Oryctolagus cuniculus: one gene and its partner. The protein of the gene in region 2 purifies or fractionates together with the protein of the main gene of each other region. This does not show direct contact. Links are inferred from orthologs where the notes say so. Each region holds a gene or a part of one and is shown on either strand. Other genes may lie near its edges.

What was found. Proteins that work in one complex are often made in the same cells at the same time.
Region 1: the proteins of TUBGCP3 (region 2) and LGALS3BP purify together in Homo sapiens (affinity purification with mass spectrometry; 4 studies listed by BioGRID and IntAct, counting the BioPlex papers as one, with this or other methods). This does not show direct contact. The link is inferred for Oryctolagus cuniculus from reciprocal best matches to the Homo sapiens genes TUBGCP3 and LGALS3BP.

Annotation. Positions count from the first base shown.
Region 1 is NC_091448.1:2,763,986-2,767,727, reverse strand, and holds the start of LGALS3BP (galectin-3-binding protein), read right to left. Parts: upstream 2,875-3,742; 5' UTR 2,721-2,874; intron 1,500-2,720; 5' UTR 1,479-1,499; coding exon 1,427-1,478; intron 747-1,426; coding exon 555-746; intron 1-554.
Region 2 is NC_091440.1:1,168,282-1,172,023, reverse strand, and holds the start of TUBGCP3 (gamma-tubulin complex component 3), read right to left. Parts: upstream 2,253-3,742; 5' UTR 2,092-2,252; coding exon 2,016-2,091; intron 1-2,015. UniProt on the Homo sapiens protein: Component of the gamma-tubulin ring complex (gTuRC) which mediates microtubule nucleation.

The sequences.
Region 1 (3,742 bases), on a different chromosome or scaffold from region 2:
CCAAATGGCAGCAACAGCCGGGACTGGGCCAGGCCGAAGGGCCAGGAGCGCCCACTGCGTCTCCCACAGGGTGGCAGGAACCTGGGTACGTGGGCCGTCACCTGCTGCAAGCTGGACTGGACGGGGGCGGGGCGGCACTCGGGCTGGGATGCAGCTTGATCCACGGACCCACACACCTGCCCTGGAGGAGACTTTTCAGAAAACGGGGGGCTGGTTTTTGGGGTTCCCGCGCCTCTGCAGCGTGCGTCCCCTGTATGCAGGCCTCGGACCGGGCTATTCCACGGTGCCGGTCCAGCGTGGGTTTGGATCTCTTACGGCCAACACCTGGGCTTGGCTCACGCTGTGGGCCCCGCCGCTGCGAATTTGGGTTTTTCCCCTTTTTTTCCAGACTCAGTCAGCGGGGAGCGGGCACTTCCTGCCCACAGATTCTCCTCGGGAGGGAACGGTTCAGGATCAGGCCCAGAGGGGACTGGCCCAGCACGGAGCGGCCAGAGGGAACAGGCCCAGAGGCCTTGCAGCGGGCCTGTCTCAGTGCTGGGCATGGGCAGCCCCACCTGGCCCGAAGGCGGCTCTGCCCAGAGCCTCGGTGGCATTCTGGAACCCCAGGGCCCGGCAGACGACGCTGGCGTCCGTCAGGTCCCAGAGGTTGTCGCACACGGTCCCCCACTGGCCCCTGTAGAAGATCTCCACGCGGCCCTCGTTGGCTGCGTCCCCGTTGGCCAGCCGCATGTCCCCGTCCTTCTCGCCTGCGGAGAGGGCAAAGGTCAGCTGGACGCGGCGCCCACCCAGCAGCGCGGCGGTTGTAAGGGCTTCCCCGGTCAGGCTGGCCGGTCCCTCACGTCAAAGCGCCCTCCACCCTGGCTGGGTGACACCCGTGCAGACCCCGCCCCCAGCCCGCGAGGCTGACTTGTCTCCCTGGTCCGCGTGGCCGGAGCTGAGGACAGGGACAGGGACACGGACGAGGAACCGGTGCTCTCCAGCACTGGACAAGAGGGGCAGGACCCCAGAGAGGACTGGGTGGGGGCCCTCGAGGGCAGCCGAGCAGGGGCGTCCATGGGCTCCAGGACTGGCGAGGGGGAGGGGGAGGGAGGTGTCCAGGACCCTTGGAGGCCTGGCCTGTGTCCAGAGGCTGCTGGCCTCACGACCACCCCCGCCACCGGCCTATGTGCTTGCCCCCATCCCCACTGGGGACAGAGTTCCTGGGTCCCCTCCCCATCCCCCCAAAGCCAGAACCCGGGGTCCCCGGAAGACACAAGCCACCCTCATTGGGTACCGCCTGGCTTGAGGCAGGAGAGACCTGGCCAGCACCTCCCAGCTCTCCGGAGGAGGGGCCCACCCCGACCCCAACCCCGACCCTGACCCCGCGGGGCAGGGCGGCAGCAGGCGCGTGGACTTCGGCCCTGGGCACCTCCCGGGCTCAGCTCACCTCGAGTCCCGGCGAGCAGCAGCCACACCCAGAAGAGCCGTGGGGGGGCCATGGCCTCCCTGGAGCCCTGACCCTGCAGCAGAAGGAAGCGGCGTGAGCCCGCACCCCGACCCGTCCTCCACTCCGCTGCGGGGCACACAGGGACCCCCTCCCGCAACCCCCCCCCGAGATCTCCCCATGATGAACAAGAAGGCGACCTGTGCCATGGATGCCTGGGGGGGGCTGTGCCTGGGCTGCAGGCAGAGTGAGCCTGGGCCAGAGGCAGGGGCGAGGGAGGGGGAGGCGCAGCCGGGGGCCCAGGGCGCGGCAGAGCCCCAGAGGCACCCAAGGCGGGCAGAGGGGAAGGGAGGTGAGAGGCAGGGCAGGGGCTCCGACAGGAGTGAAATCCGGGCCCCAGAGAGGCTGGGCTCGGGTCGGGGAGGAGGGGGAGGGAGTCCCTGCCTGGCGGGTTCTCCCTGCAGCTCCGTGGGAGACGGGCGTGTCTGAGAGCCCCTTGGGGGGAGGCCAGAGGGGGACGACGTGGACTTCGGCTCCGGTCCCCAGGACACACAGGCTGGGAGAGGCCGTGGGGTCCTCCCCAGGGCACCTCCCACCCCCGTCCCCGCCCGCCCTGCTGCCCCCGGCAGAGCCAGCGTTTGCTTCTCTGGGACACCCGCGGTGGCCACTAGCAGCACTGGCTACAAGCGGGGGCCTGGACACCCGCCAGGCAGGCCCGGCTCCTCACTGCTGCGCGAGCGCTGGGACCCAGTGCAGCAGTCTGTGGGGGGCCCGGCGTGGCTGCCCGCACTACGTGGTCACCCAGGGCCCCTCGCACAGTAGCTGTCCTGGCCCCAACGACCGTGCAGGGGCTGCTGTCCAGGGAAGCCAAGGGCTCCGCGCGCCCTTCACGGGCAGGAGGGCCAGGGCCACCTGCTGTCCCTGCCCCACTTCCCAGGGAGCTGCAGGGCCGGCTTTGTTCCCTTGGGGACAGGAAGTCAGGGCCCCGGACATGGGGGCCACGCGAGGCCCTGGCACGTGGCCGCCGCCCTCCGTGCGGTGCTGTCGTGCAGGTGAGAACAAGGCCTTGGGGCCAGGCCCGGGCGGGGACGCGCAGGCCCAAGACAGGGCTGAGGGCTCAACGCTGGCCCCTCCTGCCTCGGCCGGGTCCCTGTGCAGGGAACAACCACACACAGAGGCCCTGCGGGCCCAGGCGCGGCGGGGGTGGTCCCTGGACTCGGGAGCCCGGGGCGCCCTGCTCCAGGCCCGGTGCCTGCAGTGTGGCCCACGCTGGCTGCCTGCGTAGACAGGGGCTTACCTGCCTGGCACAGGTGGCTGTGCGGGAGGCTCCCGCCTCTGCTGGAGGCCCAGCCTGCAGTGTGGAGGGGCGGCCCCAGGAAGTGCTCCAGGGAACAGGGACGACTTTCGATTCCCACAAACCACCTGACTGCAGCCTCCGCTGGGGTTGGCTGCAGCTCTGCTGGCCAGGCCCCCTCTTCCTTCCTGCTCTGGCTGTGGGGGTGGGGATGGCAGCCACCCAAGTTCTGACAACAAGACCTACAGCGAGGGGCAGGACCACAACACGAAGGCCAGCCTGGGACAGCGGAGCAGAGGCCCTGGGGCAGACGGCAGCGCTGTGTCCTGGCAGGGTTGGGCCCAGCACGTTGCTGGCTGGGTGGGCAGCCCACACCCCGCCAGGCTGCAGGGCACTGACCCCCGCAGGCAGTCGGGCAGGGGGCCCTGAGCCCTGGGAGACCAGGAAAGCGGCCGGCACGTGGCTGAGCTGGAGCTGCCCCAGTACCTGACACCAGGGCCTGGCCTTGTCCACGCTGGGCTGACCACCCACACTGCAGAGCGGTCACTCCCCTAACGGGAACACGAATGGCCCCGCCCAGCACACACCACCCCCCCCCGCCTCCATCCCCAGCTGCGAGGTCCCAGGGCGCCCTTGGCCGCAGGGATGGTGTCGGGGAGGGCTGTGCGCCCAGACAGCCCAGCGGGAGCAGCGTCCTCTCAGGGGATGGCGCCCTGAGCCACCACGCTGGGTGTGAGGTCCTGGGCCCAGCGGCCCAGTGACCCGATCAACATCACCTCTGGTTTCTTTTCTTAAAAAGATTTATTTATTTGAAAGGCAAAGAGGGAGAGACAGAGAGGGAGAGAGACAGAGGTCTTCCATCTATTGGTTCACTCCCCCAAACGACCACAATGGCCAGAGCTGAGCTGATCTAAAGCAGGAGCCAGGAGCATTCTCCGGTATCCTATGCGGGTGCAGGGGCCCAGGATTGGGCCATCTTCCACTGCTTTCCCAGGCCACAGCAGAGAGCTGGATCAGAAGTGGAG
Region 2 (3,742 bases):
CCAGTCATTTGTGCCGCCTGAATGTCCCTTACCCGAAATGCTGGGGCCAGCAGTCTTTTTGACTTTGGGGTGATTTTTTTTTGGGGGGGGGAGGTTTGGGATAATACATAGGATTTACCAGGTGAGCATCCCTAATCCGAAAGTCTGAAAAATGAAATTCCGATACTGCATGACACTAGAAACATTTCAGATTGCACAGCATCATAGATTTTAGATTTTTGCATGAGGGTTGCAAAACATGTAATTTATCATTACGAAATGAGTAACTAATGAACGCACCAGGCAGTTGTCAGATAAAATAACCACCAAGCGGAAAAGGCTTCAATACAAATGTAGTAAAGGCAGCAACTCCTGCTGCTCCTTTGCTCGCTGAGCCAGAACAAATAAAACACAATAAGCTACTAAACACAAGTTTTTCAGTAAGTAGTAGTAAAACTCAAATTAGTGCCATAAACATCTGGCAATCCTAGCACTTCAGAACACATCAAAGCGAATATCACCGTTAATCTATTTTATGACATGTCATTCAAAGGGAATCCCCTCCGGGTCCCACTGACAGCCATCTTAGTTTAGACCCAATGCTAAATCAAAGACAGAGGACAGCGATTTCTGCAGAGAGAAGCACTGCGGTCTCTGGCGGGAGTGGAACTTTTATATCAACGAGAAGGAGTCTCAATTTAAAAAAAAAAAAAGTTAAATGCTGGGGCTCAGGGCTTTGGTGCCGCAGCTAGCACACAGGGTAGGACGCTGCACCCCGGAGCAGACCGCCTGGGTTTCAGTCCCGATGCTGCTCCCAGCTACTGTGCGCTGGGAGGCAGGTGCTGGCTTAAGTTGCTGGGTTCGTGCCACCCACATGGGAGACCTGGGTTCCACCCCAGCTCCCGGGTGCCCCGGGGCTGGCACTGAGGTCAGCGGACGGGAGCACTCTCTCTCTCCAATAGTGTCTAATTTTCAAAATGCTTAACTGTCGGGAAACATTCTAGCTCACAACAAGTGACTTCCAAAATCTGATGATGACAACGGCAACGAAGGAAAAAAAACTCTGCCGGCACCGGCAGAACCAAACACTGCTGTCCCAGCGCCAGCCCAGGACCAGCACCGCGACCGAGGAACGAGGCAAGCTGACCGCGCTAACGACAGCTGCCCGGCCACCGGGAGGCAGGGGCCGGCCGGGCCGAACGCACACGCAGCGCCGGCGGCGGCCGACACGCACCGGGCAGCGCGCCCCGCACCGCACAGGCACCGGCCGGGAGGCGGCGGGTGCGGATCGGCTACCAAGCCCCGGGGCCCGGCCGAGACCAAACACCGCGGGTTCCTAAGCTGGAGGTCACCGTGACGGCGGGCCCGCAGAACTCGCCAGGGTGCAAGCCCCGGCGCTGCCCCTGCTGAGGAGCCCTGCCCTGCAGTGCGCGGGTCTCCCCTCGGTCTCGGACGGTGCCCGCGCCCACGACCGCGTCCTCCCCTCGGCCCGTCCCCGCGCCCCCCGCAGCCCGAGCGCGCCTCCGGCACAGCGCGGGGTCCCCGCACGCCAGCAGCCGACGCCGCGGCGGAGGGGTCCCCGACCCAGCGACACGCGCGGCACAGAGCGGGGCGGGAGCTGCCCACAGCCGTTCGCTTCCCCCAACACAAAGCGAGTCCTCGGCCGCCCCGGAACCCCGCGAGAAAGCAGCGACCCGACGCGCGCCGGGCGCCGGAGCCGGCCGTCCCGCGGGCCTGACTTCGGAGCCCGCAGCTCCCGCCCCGGGCCCCCAGGACGCGGGAGCCCCTCGGGCGCATGCCGCCCGCGCCCACGCAAGTGCCCCCCACGCGCGGGGACTCCACGCACGCCCAGCCCTCAACGCTCCCCGCTCGGAAAACATGGCCGGTGAGGGTGGCGAGCGCGCCCCGCACAACTCCGCCGCCACGCTTCCCCCGCCCGCCCGCCCGCCCGCCCGGGGCCCGCGAGGAGCTACTCGCCAGCACGCGGCGGCCCGGGCCCCGCCGCGCCCCGCCACACGCCCGGCCCGCCCCGCTACCTTCGCTCCGGCCCAGAATCCGGCAGCACAAGTTCTGCAGCAGAACGTTCGGCGACTTCTGGTCCGGTGTCGCCATCCTCGCCTCGGCGGGGACCCCGCCCGCCTGCGCCCGCGGCTCCCCGCTTTCCCACAGCCTACGGCGCAGGGACCGCCAGCCCCGGGGCCGCCATTTTACCGGAACGCGCGAAACAGAGCCGCTTCCCAAAATGCCTCGCTCTTCCGGGAACCGGCCGGCGTGCGTCGGCCTAACAGTTCCCCGCGCGCCTGCCACGTTTTCCCCCCGGCAATCACCCGCGGGCCACAAGAGTTCCGGGCAACAGAAGGGTCCGCCCCAAGGGCGTCGATTGATGGGGGGGTGTGTGCCTGTCTGAGTAGCAACAGCAACCCCTGTCGTCCGTAATTCGGCGTGTTCTTTTTTTTAAATGGCATTTGTTTGATTCACACTCTCGATGAAACAAACGTATTTACATCAGTGCAATGGCTTCGTGACTTTTTTAAAAAATTATTTATTTATTTGAAAGGCAGAGTTACATAGAGACAGATCTTCCATCCTCCGATTCACTCCTCAGATAGCTGCAACGCCCAGGGCTGGGCCAGGGGGAAGCCAGCAGCCAGCAGCGTCTTCCAGGTCTCCCACGTGGGTGCAGGGCCCAAGGACTTGGCATCATCTGCTGCTTTCTCAGGCCACAGCAGAGAGCTGGGTTGGAAGTGGAACAGCCAGGACTCGAACCCCCAGCTACATGGGATGCCAGCGTCGCAGGCAGTGGTTTTACCTGCTAAGCCATAGCGCCGGCCTGGATTTGTGACTTTTACCATTTGGTGTGTCGGTTATCACTCACTGGTCCCTAACCTCGTGCCTGCTCTGTGCCTGGCGATACGGACTCACCAACCTTAAACCCCCGCGTTTTCTCCTCCCTGAAGTCCGCTTCCGTCTCATGAAGGGCGAGAGAACAGCAAGGGACACAGAACAACCTCCGACCCTGCCAGGTGCCAGGGCAGGGGACGGAGGGAAGGAGGGGCTTCCAGGGTGAGGGGCAAGGGTTCTCCCAGGCGGAGGGTGGGGCTGAGGCTGCATGACCAGCACACACACACGGTACACAGTGGGCACACACAGTACACAGGGAGCACACACAGTGAGCACACACAGTACACAGGGAGCACACACAGTACACAGGGAGCACACACACAGTACACAGTGAGCACACACACGGAGCACACACAGTACACATGGAGCACACACACAGGGAGCACACACAGGGAGCACACACAGTACACAGGGAGCACACAGTACACAGCACACACACAGTACACAGTGAGCACACACAGTACACACGGAGCACACACAGTACACATGGAGCACACACAGGGAGCACACACAGTACACAGGGAGCACACACAGTGAGCACACACAGTACACACAGCACACAGTGAGCACACACAGTACACAGGGAGCACACACAGTACACAGGGAGCACACACAGTACACAGGAAGCACACACAGGGAGCACACACAGTACACAGGGAGCACACAGTACACAGCACACACACAGTACACAGGGAGCACACACACTGAGCACACACAGTACACAGGGAGCACACACAGTACACAGGGAGCACACACAGTACACAGCACATACACAGTACACAGTGAGCACACACACACTGAGCACACACAGTACACAGCACATACACAGTACACAGGGAGCACACACAGTACACAGGGAGCA